Linked DNA regions of Astyanax mexicanus. The protein of the gene in region 2 purifies or fractionates together with the protein of the main gene of each other region. This does not show direct contact. Links are inferred from orthologs where the notes say so. Each region holds a gene or a part of one and is shown on either strand. Other genes may lie near its edges. The genes, in order: ranbp1 and rcc1.

What was found.
Region 1: the proteins of rcc1 (region 2) and ranbp1 purify together in Homo sapiens (affinity purification with mass spectrometry; 3 studies listed by BioGRID and IntAct, counting the BioPlex papers as one, with this or other methods). This does not show direct contact. The link is inferred for Astyanax mexicanus from reciprocal best matches to the Homo sapiens genes RCC1 and RANBP1.

Annotation. Positions count from the first base shown.
Region 1 is NC_064429.1:10,914,380-10,923,708, reverse strand, and holds the start of ranbp1 (ran-specific GTPase-activating protein), read right to left. Parts: upstream 3,847-9,329; 5' UTR 3,722-3,846; coding exon 3,707-3,721; intron 1-3,706. UniProt on the Homo sapiens protein: Plays a role in RAN-dependent nucleocytoplasmic transport. Alleviates the TNPO1-dependent inhibition of RAN GTPase activity and mediates the dissociation of RAN from proteins involved in transport into the nucleus.
Region 2 is NC_064413.1:32,419,179-32,428,096, forward strand, and holds the start of rcc1 (regulator of chromosome condensation), read right to left. Parts: upstream 3,678-8,918; 5' UTR 3,542-3,677; intron 1,782-3,541; 5' UTR 1,768-1,781; coding exon 1,692-1,767; intron 1,567-1,691; coding exon 1,379-1,566; intron 1,138-1,378; coding exon 958-1,137; intron 547-957; coding exon 450-546; intron 363-449; coding exon 240-362; intron 118-239; coding exon 1-117. UniProt on the Homo sapiens protein: Guanine-nucleotide releasing factor that promotes the exchange of Ran-bound GDP by GTP, and thereby plays an important role in RAN-mediated functions in nuclear import and mitosis.

The DNA.
Region 1 (9,329 bases), on a different chromosome or scaffold from region 2:
GTGACGCTGGCCTTGTTACGATAAAATCTATTGTTTTATTTAACCTATTCATTTAAAAAGAAGGTTTAAAGGTTTTAAAGTTTAAATACATGCGCTATATCGGGATCAGTCCAAAATGTCCCTATTTAAATATTTAATGTTTTAACAAATCAAAACCTCTAAACCAACCTAAACATAAAAAAAAACTTCAGAATTCACCTAAAATACAGCCAAAGACAGCTTTCTAACCCCACTAAAAACCCTCATTACTCTTTGCTCATCGGTGTGGAAATCTTATAAACGTGCACTACTACTGGTGAACCACGCTAAAGTCCCCAGTTTTGTAGAAAGTGTTGGTATTGGTTTCACTTTCTCTGAGAGCCGCTACACGTCTGAGCCGGCCCCGGGGGGCCCTCGACGCCCCGTCGGTTCAGTAGATCTGCAGAATGAAAGGCAGGGGGGATTTAAAGAGCTCAGTCTGTGGATCTGCTTTTGTCTCTGATTTGCTGCAGCAGACAGGCTCCCGCCTGCTGGTACTGAACCACGAGCCCGGACCACGCCAACGCCCGGCGCACCGGAAGAGTCCGGGTTTAACGGGGGTATCGCCACACCCCACCCACCGCCAGAGACCCCCCACACCCAAAACGTGAGGTAGACGATGATCCATCAAACTACTCAAATCTACTCAACTTTACAAATTTTAATTTTCTGATTCACAGAATGCAATTAATGCTACATTCCATATAAACATGGCTTTTGGAAATTTTAGACGCTCATCTGGTGCTAACCTGGGGCATGAAGAGTGAGATATTTTGGTTATATTCACCAAAATACACTGATAAATGAATGCCAAACCAATTTATCTTTAGATAACTGTTTGAAACATTCTGAAATTGTGCAAATTTATTGTAATGTTTAACTACAATGCTGCCAACTCAGGCGAGGTGAAATTTCTAGCTCCAACATCTGACTTCCAAGGTAAACGGAAGACAACAGATGATATGATACTGTTAGAATGCCAAATGTGACACCTGTCCATCTGGTTTCCACACAAAATAGGTTTCTTAGAACAGCTAAAGGCTGATCTGGTGTTCCAGGTGGCTGCTTTATCCTGGTATTTCAGGTAGTCATTATTTAATTTGCTATGGGAACTTGTTTTATGTTAAGTTAAAGGCTGAAGAACAGGGTGACATTCACAGGTGTGTAGACTTCAGCAGGTGAGGTGGTGATTGAGGCGATGGCTGGCCAACAGCACTTACTAGCACAGTATGAAGCAAAAAGTGGTATGTTGTAAGGTAGTAAACCCACATTTTGGGCCAGATTATAACTGTAAAATAAGCAGAATCTGTATGTTTCAGTACAGTGAACCACAATTTTGTGAATCTCATGGGCGTAGGAAAATAAATGTTTAAATAAAATGTTTCCAGAAGATTATGCAGAATGGTTCCCACTTCTAGACAATAGCTAAAAAACATGTTGCTATCTAGTGTTATATGGTGAAACATATGGTGACTGCTATGGAATACAGGTAAGTTGCCCTGTTATTGTATTTTCTGTGGTTTTGATCACATTGGCAGGTAGATGCCTTGTTCTGACATTTGATGTGGATGCTACTGGATTATAAAGTGGGTTACATTAAAGCAGAGACTGAACAACAGGGTAACATTCACAAAAAGTGCAGTCTTCAGCAGGTGAGGCTGTGAACAGAGCTCCTACGATTAGTTGAAAAAAATCAACAGCATCGACTATAAAAAAATGTGTCGACTCCAAATGTTCAATGACTAATCTTTCATTTGCAGAACTACACAAAGTATCGGAGTTCCAGCCTCAACCTGTGTCTCCAAAAGTGTCCAAACACAACAGATTACACATTTACTCGCTAAATAGCAGTACTTTCCAAAGTCAAAGGATGGTATTTAATTGCCACTTTCACTTGTTTCTAATGTTTTAAGTCTACAGAGGCCGTACCCACAGCACGCAGAGACGGAAGGCTTTGCAGAAATAAGTGCTGATTAATTGAGAATATCCAGAAAAGTAATAGTCGGATTAGTCGACTACCAAAATCATCATTAGTTGGAGCCTTAGTTGTGGACCATGGTCACAGAATACTGAATACTGCAATAGCCATTCACTAATTGGAAAAATAACCAGATTAGTTGACTAGTCTAGTACCAAAATAATCTATAAACTGCAAACTTATAAATGTTTATGTTAAAGCATTTTATTGATTCCCAGATTACAGTCTCAGATGGTTACTAGGGCTTTGCCAAGTGATTGTTATCACGACTTAAACCAGGATGCACAAGCTTCTGCATCCTATTCATTCCATGAAGAAAGTTCCAAACATTTTGCTCATGCCTAATTCTAATGTCTTAAAACCTAGACATCCTAGAATTAAATGAACTAGTTTATCCCATCTTAGACCCAATCAGGCTCACAAGGCCTAGTCTCACACCATTACAATAGACTTTCCCTCTCCTTTAGATCCATTGTAGGTGGTCCAAAACTTTGTCTAAACCCAAGAGAGATCATCACCTATAACAAAGCCAAAGACCAGCAACATTACCCAGCAATTATGGTGATTCACCTGCTTTCACCGCCCTCATTAACCCCACCAGTTAACTCCCAGCACCTTCAGAACCACCCACCACTGTACTGGGCTGAACTGGACACCAGTCATCTGAAGCCCATGTGCTCCTCCAGGAGCATGCTAATGCTAAAAAGCTAATGCTAACTGCTAATGCTAAACAAAACATAGCTATTAGTCTTTTTTACTTTTCATTCAAACTCATCGTTGCATTTAGGTGCACTGCAGGTTAAGATACTGGTTACTTTATTTAGTGAGCAAAACGTCAATCAATGAATCAAAAGCCAGCAAGCTATCCATTAGCATTCATTAGCTTTAGCCAATATGTTAGCTTATTAGGCCTTGCAGTTGTATTAGCTAACTTGAGCTAGCTAATGGTGCTCAACAGGTTTGCTATTTAAGCTTACTATTTCAAGTTGGGCCTTTAATTATTTAATCAATTAAATCAAAATAAATATAAAAAACTTTATAAATTAAAAAAATCGCAAGCTTGAGAGGTTGAAGTTTGGTTTGATGCTCGAATTAGCCGGTCCACCTTAACGTTAACTCCCGCAGCGGTTTCATTCTGGCGCCCAGCATTTAAGGTAGAACGGCTAGTTAGTTACGTTAGCTTAGGCAGCAAGCCGACATATAGTAGTTAGCTTAGTTAGCTAGCTAGCTAGGTTAGTTTATTTATTTAGGTACCTTTACATTAACACAAGGATTTAACACTTTAACCAAATAATGACTGCCAATATATTCAACAATAAAATGAAGCTTTAATTAATAAAACCGATTTATTCATTTATTTACAGATACATTAGCTAGCCGCCGCGGCTAAAGCAGAGCTAACCTGCTCGGAAACAGGCGGTAAACCGAGCTGTAGGAGTGCGGAAAAAGCGCATATTAGTTTTACAGCTTTAAAAATCGTCTAAAACAACAAAACGCCACAAATATCAGGGCATTCCCGCCGCCCGCTAGCCCGGGTTCGTGTCCGGTAGCCGGACTGGCCGCTCGCTGCAGTAAAGCAACAGCCGGCTTTTACTATTCACCATCTCCGCTTCCAGCCCAAAAACAGGCGGATTAAAACCATCCTAACGATTAAAAATCGCAGCAGACGGCCGCAGGACCCCCAGACGTTCCCCAGAACACCGTCCTTACCTTAGGATCTGCCATAGTTTTGTGGATGTTTGCGGATTGTTGAGTTTTAGTGGATGTTTTTCGCTCCGGCCGTGAGGAGGGAAGAGGGAGGGAGAAAATGCTCCTGCTTTCGCGCGCGCACTGAACCGGCGTGTCGTCATCGCCGGCACCGGCGGTGACGTCACTTGTAGATTACGTACATCTCCATTAATCGATTAAATAAACGTAAAACAAATCGATAAAATTTGTACTTTTGATTTTAGCGTAGTAAAGTGAGCGGTAAGAGCACAGAAAGTAACACACAAGCATGACGCACCTTCAGTGACATCATGTAAAAATAATAATAATAATGAATAATGAAAATGCGTGGCCACAACTTATTAAAAAGGCACAAAACCCTATACTATATTTTTTCATTTATAGCTGAAAAAAATGTATAAACCTTTAAAAAAACACTTTTATTGCAGTCATTTCCTCCTTCGTGCTATAGGCGAGGATTATGTTATCATGTACTTTGGTTATCAGAGGCACACTGCTCAGCTCAATCAAATCTCCCTTCTGCCCTGCCTCTAAACCCATACATCACACAGTGCCACTCCCATTTGTTTTTTGCATTTATATAATTTGAGCTGAGGGTGGAGTCAGCTAAAATCAGAGGGTTTAGTAACTCTCTAAGGCTTGGGAACTGAAAAAATAATAGCTCTTGGCCATATAAGTCATCCCCACGACCTAATTATCTTGTTCCCACGCTTTTAATAAGTCATGGAAATGCATTATAAGAATCAAGGTTTGAGGAACTCAGGCCCCTGTACGCCCCATGAGAGGTGAGTGGGTCATATCAGAAGAAGTATAATAATTTAGATAGATAATAGGTGATTCTAGGATCAGAGATCCAAGGGTACAGGGCATTATCACACTAAATTTAAAAAAAGTATCAGACAATAACAGCATAAACATTCGTGTTTAATTGGGAAAGGGGATTTTACTGTTTACTGTTATATTTTCATTATTAAAATTCTGTTTAATGATATACTTTCTAAGATTTAAACGTTTTTAGCTTATCAGAGACCCTCCAGTCCACAGGTAAAGTTGCTTAAAGGTGATGCTCAAATAGAAGTAAATCTTTTATACATCAGAGTAAAAGAACACAGCATGGAGTTCTTATGTATAAAAATACTGTTTGTAACTGTGTCTTTGTCCATTTGATACACCATTATGTAACAAGTATTATTTGTTAGCTAGCTAGATTAGCTTTACAGCTAACACAATAATCCACAATGACTGTGAATAAACAACAGGTTTAAAGTATATAGTCTCCTCCAGTTATTTTAAACAGTTTTCTCTAGTAAATTTTAATGATTTCACTCTAATATTGTAATCACCCTAATAAATTATCATCGTTATAATCCCACATCTAAACTGACTGATGGATAAAATCATTAGTATGAGAATAAATGCATGGATGGATACTTTCATGCACATAAAGGTCATAAACTACCCCTCACCCACTGCATGCCTGTGAGGGTTATAAGGGTTATATAACTCTCAGAGAGAGATCTCTGAAGCCTGAAGAACATAAAGGACATCATTTTCAGATCACCCTTATTCCTTTTTTCTCTCTCTCTGAGATCCAACAGGGGGCGCCACGTGCACACAGAAAAGCCCCAGTATAACCAGTATTAGAACTGGCCTGTGGGGTGCAGGCAGGAGGAATGCTGGGAGTACAGGGCCTGTCTCTGTTTATATCTGTCCTTTCTTTAACAGAGGGCAGAAAAGGAGATATATCATACTCCCACCAGTATAACTAAACACACACACTGTAGTCCAGGTCGAACTGTGTGTATATAGCTGTGGAGGACGTCCAGCCCAGCTCGGAGGATGATGATAACAGAGGGTCAGCTGAGCCGTACAGGAAATGATGTGTCCCTGCTGAAAATAAAAACATCCAGGCTGGTTTAAGCTGGTAATCATGGTTAAACTGGTTGACCAGTTTAGATTTAGACCAGTGCAGAATATAGCTGTGGGGATACCACCACTGCATGCCAGTGAGCTACCATGGGGGAGACTGGGATTCAATTCCAAATCTAAAATAAATAAAAATCCAAAAATCAGTGTCTCAGAAAAAAAAAAAACATTGGTACTTTTGGTAGTGTGAGCAACGTGCAACTCCTGCTGGAAAATGAAATCTGCATCTCCATAAAAGTTGTCAGTAGCAGAGGAAAGCTGTAAGATATTCTGGGAAAACAAAACTGCACTGACTTTAGACTTGATAATAAAACACAGTGGATCAACACCAGCAGATGACAGACATGACTCTCCAAACCATCACTGATTGGTGGAAACTTCACACTAGGCCTCGAGCACTTTGGACTGTGTGTCTCTCCACTCTTCCTCCAGACTCTGATCCCTTGATTTCCTTTAAATGAAATGTAAAATTTACTGATGATCAGTGATGGTTTGGAGAGACGTGTCATCTGCTGATGTTGATCCACTGTGTTTTATTATCAAGTCTAAAGTCAGTGCAGTTTTGTTTTCCCACAAAATCTTACAGCACTTCATGCTTCTTCCCTCTGCTGAGAAAAACTTTTCTGGAGATGCGGATTTCATTTTCCAGCAGGAAAAAGTACCAATTAGTCTTATATAATATTCTAATTTCCTGAGACTCTGAGTTTTGGGTTTCCATTGGCTGTAAACAATAATCACTTACAATAAAATAAATAAACGCTTAAAATAAATCACTCTGTGTGTAATACATCTATATAATAATACATAATTTTACAAACTAATCAGTGTGTGTTTAGTATAGGGAGATTCCGCCTATGTAGGAGATGAGGACTAAAAGGGTGTAGTAAAGTTTGAACTGAAGTATGAAACCGGACAAAACTAACTCAACTAAATACATCGCAGAATGTATCACAATATATCAAACACACAATATCCCTAATTGTGAAAAAGAAGAACAATGTTACATTATGTAAATTGAAACACCAATAACACAGCAATAGGCCTCAGACTGCACTCGCAAGTCACAGAGTTTATTTTATTATTTTATTTTTAAATATACATATACTTCTTTTTATTTTAAATACCCCCAAACCCCCCCAAAACCTCCCTCCCTCCCTCCCCACACTCCTTCTCCTCCTCTTTGCACTTGTTTATAACCCCTCCATCCCTCTATAAGAGAAATCACACACCCTCCTAATTGTGCAGCATATTGCTTTTTCTTTTTTTTCTTCTTTTTCTTTTGTTGTTTTACTTTGTTAAGACATCCGCGAACATAAATAAAAAAAAATACTACCTCCTAACTCCTGTAGGGGGAGCCAACGCTACGAAACTCAGAGGTTTTCGTAAGCTAACCAGTTTAGCGAAAATTGGATTCAGATTGGTAACAGCTTGGAATCGAAAGGTGCTCAATTAGTGTAGACATTAATCTGAAGTTTGTTCTTGTATTTTTGCAGTAGAATCTTGGGCTATATCAATGTTAAAATGTAACCAAATAATAAAGACTAAATCATATATGGCTGTGTATATGGTGTTCAGACTGCATGTAAATGGGATTTGTTCCTTAAATCAGATTTGATGATGTATAATGTTCTGATTTGCTGTTGAGTGATGGGATCGGACTTGCCTGTCTTGACATCGCAAACATATCTGCAGGGCATCTAACCATACGATAATATTATGATATTGATTATTCAGCAATCCTAGATACTCAACTCAGAGGATAATACTGTATGGTTCCTCACAGCATCTGCGCTACTAAAGATCCACGTATCAATAATTATCGCATTATCTTTATTTCATCCCACCACTCTGTATCTGAATGTGCTTCTGTTGTTTCAAGGTATCCTCACACTTTTCTTACTCTGAATTTAGTGAAGTCGCTGTTTGTCGCATTGTGAATAATTGACATAAATGATTCGCTAAAATCTGATTTGAGTGTCTACACTGGTCAAATGTGGTTTCTGTTTGTCCACATTATCAAATATCAATCTAGACATCAATATAGCTATCGATTTTTAATCAATGTATGACAAGAATTGGGATTTAAATTGTGATTTAGACTTGGGCAGAACAAGTTATAAATTTGGATATTAGATAAAAATCTACACATGCAGTTAGCATTATGCTAATAGGTGGGGGATAACCTTCCACTGCTAGTTAGCTATAATAGCTTTTTAAGCTCCAGTGTAAAGCTATTACCAAATATATATATAAATCTATATTTTAAGGCTAATTGAACTGTGCAAATTTTCCTCTATTTTTTTTCTTTTTTTCAGCCCCAGTCAGAAACAGGTGAGCTGCTCCTGGACTTCTTCTGAATCCACTAAATTGTTGAAAATGTAATTTTTTTTGTCTGTTTTAACTGGAAATCTCTTGTTTGAAAGTGTGTGTTGTTGTTGCAGTGCACTGTGCTCCTGATTAGCACTTAAACCACGGTTTTGTAGCGTTTTATAGCTCCCGAGTCGACCTGTTTATAACAGAATTATTAAATTACTTTAAAATATCAGTGCCCTCCCCTCTGCTTACACACACTGTTTACTACCCTCCTCCACCCCCCCTCTCTCTGCTGTATCGGCTCGATATAGCGACGCTCCAGTGGAGGAATCTTATCTCTTTCTCAATCTTCCGGCTGCTTTCCTTCTTTCTGGAACGTTCTTTGTCCTTTAGGCTTAAAACTGATGGTGTTCCTTCTCTAAACTGCTCTGTAAACAAACTGGCCAGCTAATATAATTAGCATAACAGGTGATTAGCCTATGCTAACCTGGTCTAGAGCAGGGGTTCTTAACCTGGGGGTTGCAACTTCCAAGGGGACTCTATGAAGGATCAGATTCAGACTTTTCATTGAATTAGACCATTTTACGCTAAATAAAAATAAAAAAATTGGGTGTAAAATTTTTTTTTTCTATTTAGTATGATTTTCATCCATTTTTCCTGTTTAGTTTTTCTTTATTTCTGCACCTCACAACCAAACTTTAAAGGTACAATATGTAATAATTTTTCCTTTATGCAAATATACAACAAACTACCCTCTACTAACAAGCTGGAGGCCCAGAAATGCATTTTACAGCTCATATTCTGCCCTGTACACTTACTAAATGCTTCTATGTATATGAGATTTACATTTTAAGTTATATTGTTGGGTAATATTCACTTTGGCATTCATTATAAATGCATTAAAATACTTATTATTATACTGTATTTTTATGTGAAAAAAAAGTAAATTGAATTATATCATCAGATGAAAAAAGGGAAAAATCTGAAATTCACTAGAAGATTCATTATTACATTTTTTAGTAAATGAAAAAAAAATGTACACCCATTTTCTGTCTATTTTCAAAGTTAGCCTCAAACTGTCATCAATTGTAATTAATTAAGGAGTACTGCTACTACATGCTACTGGAGAAGTAGTATGACCTACTATACTCTCTCTCAGACTCCGGCTGCTGATGGAGAAGCAGCTTGACCCCTAAAAAGTGAGAAAGGTTAAGAACCCCTAATCTAGAAGCTCATTTTTCTGCAGCCAGATCTGCTCTAATCCCAGACCCTCAACTTCATCTCTCAAACCTACAACTCTTAGCTCCACACTTCATCTTCTCAACTGTCCGTCCTCCACTCCTCCACTCCTCCATTCCTGCACTCC
Region 2 (8,918 bases):
CATAGACATGGCCATCCTTAGAAACAGCAAAAGTGAAGTATGCCCCACAGAAGACATCAGTGAAGTGAACCTTCCCTCGAGGCTTGATGATGACCATTTGCGGCTCCAGTAACCTCACTAAATGGAAAAGGAGGGAGAACACAGGGAATAAATAAATAAAATCTCAGACCATTTGTACAGTATATTTATTTGAAATTATGCACATCTCACGCAATCATTGAAATAAAGATAACACATACTTAATCCCTTCCTGCCCCCTCGATTGGCGAAGCGCTCTGGGACTCTCCCTAGCTGGCCCTGTTCTCCACAGCCAGAGGTGTAGATTTCTCCATTCACAGTCAGCATCACCAGGTGGTCATTCCCTTTAGTGCAGAGACAGGAGTGTTTCATTAGTATGGAAGGTGCAGTGTTGGCACTTTATATATGAAACAAAGAAACTGAAACCTCACCTGATGCAATTTTGATCACAGCTTTGTCCAGGGGGACTTTGGTAGGTACGGTACATTTTTTCATAGGTTCAAGAAGACCAATAATACCGTTGTTATCCTGAAAAATAAATAAAGAAATAAAGAAATAAATAAAGAAAGAAAGACAAAGAAAGACAGAAAGAAAGACAGAAAGAAAGGACATTTTTACAGACAAATTTAATACTCAAAACCCTAACCACATTTATAACTGTCCATAGAAAGCAAATCACCTGCTTGATTGGGAAAGTTGACAACACAACACAAAACTCTGATGCAGTAGGTTCCTGTGCCCGTTACATTCTATGTTCATTTTGTTACATTTGGTCCAGAATAACTTTGCCTCATTGTGTGGTCATCACCTGCTTCTCCCTATACCCAACTTTAATCAGTTTGTAGAATGGTGTGCATCAGATGGCAGCAATTAGTTTATAAGTGGCCTTTCCAAAAATGTTTTAAATAAAGACAATTGTTTGATTAAAAGACGCCTTACCCTGAAAGAGCCCCAGACGAAGACCGTTCCTTCCTCCGTCAGAGCAGCAGTGTGGCTATCCCCCGCAGACACCTGCACAATCTTCTCTGCTAGCTCCACCTTAGCCGGAACCATCTCTGTGCCCTCCTCTGACGTATCCCTACCCAGAGCGCCCTCATCATTACAGCCAAAGGTGTAGACCTGCAACGATGATAAACATCATACAAATAACATACAAATGTCATTTTTCAATGTATTTGTGAATAGCGCAAGTGTAAAATCACAATACGACCTTTTGTTTTTGAAAGAAAATATGCTTTAGTGTCTCACTAACACTCTTGTCAAAAGAAGAGGCACCACAACACTAACATCACTATAACAAATTTACATGTGAATTTTTTAAGATTTCTTTAAATAAAATTGTGCAGAGCTAAACACTTACATTTCCTGTGTCACTGAGGCAAACTGTGTGCATGCCCCCTGCCACTGCCTGCACAATGCTTTCTGGGAGATTCACCAGAGCTGGTTTCTTCCTTTCTAGCACATCTTCTCCCAGGCCTAGCTGACCCACATCTCCCTGTCCAAGAACCAGGACCAGTCCCTTTTCTTGTCCATGACTCTTGTGAGACACTGTTTACGAACACAAAAATAATGAAGATTATTCAAATACGACAATTGCACAAGTGTTTTTTAAAAAAAGTAATTTATAAAAAGATCACAATCCAGCAACATTTATTTAAATATGTATATATTACCTTTCAATTTTTTTAAGGCTGCAGAGTCCTCCGCCTCAACCTCTTTTTGTCTCTTTGGGGCTTTTTTAGCAGGCATGGCAGCTCAAAAATCTAAAAAAGAAATAAATAAATAAAATTAATGAATTAATTAAACAACAATCAATAAAGAAAGTTTCTCGTTTTGATCCTCCACATGTTCCCTGAATTGTAATTTCCTAATACACCACATGGTAGAAGCTGATTTCTATGGTTTGCTTTAATGTCTTCTTTGCCTTGTGAGCATCAAATAACTTTTTTCTTCAGAGAGCTGTTCCTGGTTGCTGAATTTAAGCACAAAACTCGAAGAATTTATATTAAAGAGTGGTTTGATATTAAGCGGTGCACTGGAGATAAACTTACTTGCTCCGCTAGCTAAATAACAATAAAACCAAAAAAATTGAAAAAATCTCAGTTGTAATCAGCAGACAAACAATATACATTGGTAATAATTGATATTGGCCCAGAATTCCCACATTAATTATTATTTTTTTTATTTATTTATATACCCAGGATAAGTCTTGAGAAACTTTTGGTTTTATAAGGTTTTATAGGCAAATAATTATTCACACTAAATTATTTTACATTCAAATTTGAATTATAACAATCCAGCTAGTGGTTGAATACTATATAAAATAGATATAAATATATAAAAAAATTGAAAGGATATTACAATTTCTTGCCTCACTATATCTTGCTATATTCTGCCATGTTTAAGTTGTACTTATTCACTGGTTTATAAACTTGTTTATTGGCTGGTTCATAGTATATTCTGATGGACAGTAGCTCTTTAATAGTGCTATGTGCAACAACAAAAATTACATGTCCACTGTAGTGGATGCAGGATCTGAGAGGGTTAAATAAAGTAAAGGACAGAGGGCTGTAAATAACCTTGTACATCTTTTAAAGTGTCTGTATCGCACCTGTGTCACCATGGGCTCCTCTTCGGGGTTGAACAAGGGTATCATTTTATATTCTTCTAGGTATAAATTTGATTAAGTTCACCCCTGTGTTTAAGAGAAGTTGACTGCTTTATCGCGTTTAGCTTAAACTTCCCTTTAGAGATCCTCCTGTAATTCATGAACTCAGTCTCAGGCAGCAGTTTGTCCTCTATTTGTTGGGATAATAAGGACAGTGTGTACAGTAGAGTACAGTCACAGCGCAGCAGCAGGAGGCTGGAGCTCAATGTGCCATTCATTAATGGAGTAAAGTTACAGCTGTTGATCTTTTGGGGCAGTACGCGCTGCTGACTGACGGGCGCTCGTGTTCTACACAAGTGCTGGATGTGTGAACAGGCCACGGGATCAACACAGGGCAGCTCCTGTGTTTTTAGTCGTTTTAAAGGCTCGGGGAGGGACAGGCGGTGGCTAACACAGACTTAGCTGAGCACAAACGGATCCCGCGTCAGGTTTAAACAGCGCCAGTCCCCCCAACGTGGGTCTGTCGGTGTCTGTGGAGGAGCTAGCGTTAGCAGGCTAACGTGGCTAACCTAACTACAGTACAGTTAGCTAACTAAATAACGTTAACTAACTCAAGCTAAAGCACAGAGCGGCACTAAACTCCTCCAACTTCCGGTATTATATGTATTATTTTTACAGCAACACCAACTACCAGCTACTGCTCAAACTAAAGAGGGAAAACTGCAGCTCGCCGGTTCATTAGTTCAGTAGCTAAAAGCCCCAGTGTCACTGAACATACCTAACTAACGCTGGCTAGCTGCAGCTGCTAGCCGGCATGATCCCCAGCCCCGGGCTGCAGGCGCGGCGGTACACAGTGTGGGAGCCGGCCCGCAGTGCTCCTCTGTAAGACTCGTGCTGTTCTAAAGGTGCTCTTACCTCGTAAATCAGCAGGTTAACGGCGGTGTATCGGTCTGTGGCTCGTCTGTCTCTCTCAGCCCGGTCTCCCCGCTCTCTCCTCTGAGTGTGAAAACGAGTTCAGCGCCTCGAGCTTTCATTTATTCCCTGACACCAGAACACACACACCACCTGCTGGAGCGGAGGAGACCCGACACACCAGAGTTGCCAGGTTCGCGTTTTATCCGTCAATTTGGGCTTGTTTTAAAATCCAGTCGCTGGTGGAAATTTAGAGGTGCATTTTTTAGGCTACTTAAAAAAAAATCTAAAGAAAAGGCAAGAACAAAATAGAGTAAGTAAAAGTCTTGTTTGACTGGGATATAAAACTGTTATAATGACTTTAAGGTACATAGCAATATTGATAAATCGTACACTCATAGTTGTTTTGCTAATTGTTAAACGTGTGACAGACAGGCAGTATATTTTTTGCTAGTTTAAGTTTCAGAAAGTGGCTTTTAGACTGACTTAGGATTGATTATTTTTGTTGAACCTGGCAACCCTTCGCCACACTGACCCAGATTCAGAGATGTATAGTAAGGAAGTTGAGTTACTTCACTAAAATGTTGTTTAAATTAGACCAGATAACGATATTGTTTTATAGAAATATTAAAAAATGTTTTTCTTCTTATCGGCTGAATACTCCTTTCCTTTGTACATAAAAGTATGTGTGTCTGATTTGAATCTAAATTTTTATATTTTTTCTGACTCTTTCTTATGGGAACTCTTCTCAAATTAATCTACAATGTTTTTTTTAAGGGAAGGTGGGTTTAAAGAGCACTTCAACTTTTACTTTTTTGACTTGTACTACGTCTGCCCAGATTACACCTACAGTAACTGATGTACATCCTAAAACATAAAACCTCTTTATTAAATACATTTTGAATGGGAATTTACCACATACCTGTCAAGTCTCCCGTTTTGGCCGGGAACCTACCGTATTTTACTCCTCTTTCCCGCCCTCCTCTCGCATTAGTATTTTCCCGTAAATGTCCCGTATTATATTACAATAAAAATATATATATTATTGAGGAGACAGGGCACTGACCGCTCTGTGTCTCTTAACCAATCGTGGAGCCGGTTCAAGGAGAAAGTCCCGCCTTTCAGGAGAAACAGCCAATCAGCTTGCAAAGGAGGGTCAGTGGGGGAAGTTCAGGCAGCTAGTCGGAGCTGCTGATGTTAAAACAGATCTGGATAAACGGCTCTCACTAAAAACCAGGGGTTTCGTGCATGACGTATTTTTGGGGGCGGAGTTGTGGGAAGGCTGTTGTCGTAAGGGGAGGGACTTGAATAGGGTCAAGGAGCATGCGCAGAGAGGAACCCGCACAATTCAAAAGGCTGGTGTGAATCTGCTGCCGAAAAAAGAAACCGCTGGAGCAAGAAAGGTACAGTATAAGCTTTAAAACACATTGTTTGTGAAATAAAAAATGCACGTAACGAATACAATTATTAAAATCTAGGAAGAACAGTGTTTATTTATGGTGCTGTGTAATATCTGAGGCTCAATTCCATTTATTTATCAATGTAAAGCTCCAAAACGCCCCAAAGTTAGCTTTGCTGAACAATATTATTGAATGTACAGCAGTGTTGGGGCATCTGAATCTTAAATTACACCTAATTTAGTTCGATTGAGGTGACCATATCTGTTTAGTATCTTGCTTACATACCTGGTTGGTCTGGGGGGATTTCATGTTAGTTTAGTTCAATCTGATTTATATATATCTGGTATCCAAATACCTGGTTGGTCTGGCGGGTATTTCATGTCAGTGCAGTTTAATCTGATTTATATATATATCTGGTATCCAAATACCTGGATGTTGTGGCGGGTATTTCATGTTAGTATAGTTTAATCTGATTTATATATATATCTGGTATCCAAATACCTGGATGTTGTGGCGGGTATTTCATGTTAGTATAGTTTAATCTGATTTATATATATCTGGTATCCAAATACCTGGTTGGTCTGGCGGGTATTTCATGTCAGTGTAGTTTAATCTGATTTATATATATCTGGTATCCAAATACCTGGATGGTCTGGCGGGTATTTCATGTCAGTATAGTTTAATCTGATTTATATATATCTGGTATCCAAATACCTGGATGGTCTGGCGGGTATTTCATGTTAGTATAGTTTAATCTGATTTATATATATATCTGGTATCCAAATACCTGGATGGTCTGGCGGGTATTTCATGTTAGTATAGTTTAATCTGATTTATATATATATGGTATCCAAATACCTGGTTGGTCTGGCAGGTATTTCATGTTAGTTTAGTTTAATCTGATTTATATATATCTGGTATCCAAATACCTGGATGTTGTGGCGGGTATTTCATGTTAGTTTAGTTTAATCAGATTTATATATATCTGGTATCCAAATACCTGGATGTTGTGGCAGGTATTTCATGTTAGTTTAGTTTAATCTGATTTATTTCACTGCTACTGCTTCTAAATGGGTACAAATGAAGATAATTTTGGTTTCTGTATATATTTTGAGTTATTTGGTTGTCACAGATTTTAAATGCAAAAATAAGGTCAGAAAACATACATTTAAAATCTGACATGTTATCAATTGTTTTAATTATTGCTTGATTTTTTAGATTGCCTGTGACTGATGCAACAAGTGGTTCCACCATTCATGTGTCGGAAACTCACCTGAAGAGGAGGAGTTCCTTTGCCCTTTGTGCAAGATATAAGACAGCCCCTACCAACTAACTCATCCGCTGACCCTGCTTTTAAATGTCATTGCTACCACTGTTTTCCAACAACTCTAATCAGACTTCTTTTTCATTTTATGTTAAAAAAAAACACACCTTAAAGATGTATGTTATAACTTTATTGTAGACTTTGTCACCTGAGGTTGTTTATTTTTTAAAGACAATACCTTTTATAGTTTCCATCAATTACAGTTTGCTAATTCAACTATTTATTTTGACACAGCACATGCTAACCCTCACTTGCTGAGACTAAAGAATGTAAATGAACTTTGTGCCCTTTTTAGATAGAAAAAGCTGGAAAATATGTTCCGCAACGAAACTACATTTAGGTCAATATAATGTTCTCTTTTTGTATACTTCAGAATTTAATACATTTGCTATTTGAGTTTAGAAACAATATGCTCATAAACATACTTTTATTGTTAACATTGTTTTCATGCCTTATATCTAGATTGTATTAAATCCCATACATCTGACACAGAGGCAAACTATGTTCCGACTCAGGATAACTGTAGTCCCAGTGTAAAGAGTTAATGCATGAAAAAATAATTATATAAAACAATGAAAGTGTATCCAATAAAAAAAATAAATAAATACATTTTGGCTAATGTGGTCTCAAACTGAATGTTGTATTATTTTCTACTATATTACACAATATAAATATTAACCAACGATAATCAACCTCTTATGCAAAAATAGTCACTTTATTCACCCAGTTAAAAGAAAGACACTTTATTTTAAACATTTTACATGTGCACTATCAAACATCAAAAGTACTGTGTACAAAAATTATTACTTGAAGTTAGCTATAGAGTGTACAGGGCCACCTCAAATAATTGTAATATCTTTGAAAAGTTACTTTATTTTAGTAATTTGGTTAAAAATGTGAAACTCATTATATAGATGTATTAAACACAGTGATCTATTTTAAGCATTTATTTATTTTATTGTTGATGATTATGAAGCTTACAGCCAATGAAAACCCAAAAATCAGTGCATCAGAAAATTAGAATATTATTTAAAACCAATTGGTACTTTCTGCAGTGTGGGCAGTGTGCCAAGTCCTGCTGGAAAATGAAATCTTCATCTTCATAAAAGCTGTCAGCAGAGGGAAGCATGAAGTGTTGTAATATTTTGTGGGAAAACAAAACTGCACTGACTTTAGACTTGATAATAAAACACAGTTGATCAACACCAGCAGATGACAGACATGTCTCTCCAAACCATCACTGATTGGTGGAAACTTCACACTAGACCTCATGCAGTTTGGACTGTGTGTCTCTCCACTCTTCCTCCAGACTCCTCTCCCTTGATTTCCAAATAAAATGTAAAATTTACTGATGATCAGTGATGGTTGGAGAGACATGTCTGTCATCTGCTGGTGTTGATCCACTGTGTTTTATTATCAAGTCTAAAGTCGGTGCAGTTTTGTTTCCCCCCAAAATCTTACAGCACTTCATGCTTCTTCCCTCTGCTGACAACTTTTATGGAGATGCAGATTTCATTTTCCAGCAGGACTTGGCACACTTCCCACACTGCAGAAAGTACCAATTGGTCTTATATAATATTCTAATTTTCTGATTCACTGATTTTTAGGTTTTCATTTCACACGCTTAAAATATAGATCACTTTGTGTGTAATATATCTTTATAATATACGAGTTTCACATTTTTAACTGAATTACTGAAATAGTAACTTTGTGAGATGGCCCTGTACATTGCAGTCTAAGGTTTACGATGCAGCAAGTTTTTCACTTGCAATAAAGACTAGTATTCGGTTACTGTGGAGCTGGTATCAGAATTAAGAGGAAAAACTGCATGGACATTTTACCAACTTTTCTCTAAAAGACAAGAAGGCACTTGAGTGTGTTCTTGACAGTACAGAAGAAGTTCTGATGGATCTTCATGATTGACTGTTCACACGATCGCCACCTAGAAAAAAATATATACATTTATTTATCACAAAGAAATTCAACAATAACAAGATTTATGACTTATTTGGGGAAAAATCATAGTAAATAAATATAGATTACTACAAAATCACAGTTTTAAACAAAATACACAGATTTTACAACTAACAGAGTAAATGTACCCTGAATATCAGGACCAGTACAAAGAGTAACACAGGCTATTGAGGAATATGAATAAAGTTATTAGCACTATAGAGTGCATGAACATGAAAACGATATAAGATACATATCCTGCACATGAAATACCCACCAGACCAACCAGGTATTTGGATACCAGATATATATAAATCAGATTAAACTGCACTGACATGAAATACCCGCCACAACATCCAGGTATTTGGACACCAGATATATATAAATCTGATTAAACTAAACTAACATGAAATACCTGCCAGACCAACCAGGTATTTGGATACCAGATATATATATAAATCAGATTAAACTGCACTGACATGAAATACCCGCCACAACATCCAGGTATTTGGACACCAGATATATATAAATCAGATTAAACTACACTGACATGAAATACCCGCCAGACCAACCAGGTATTTGGATACCAGATATATATAAATCAGTTTAAACTGCACTGACATGAAATACCCGCCAGACCAACCAGGTATTTGGATACCAGATATATATAAATCAGATTAAACTATACTAACATGAAATACCT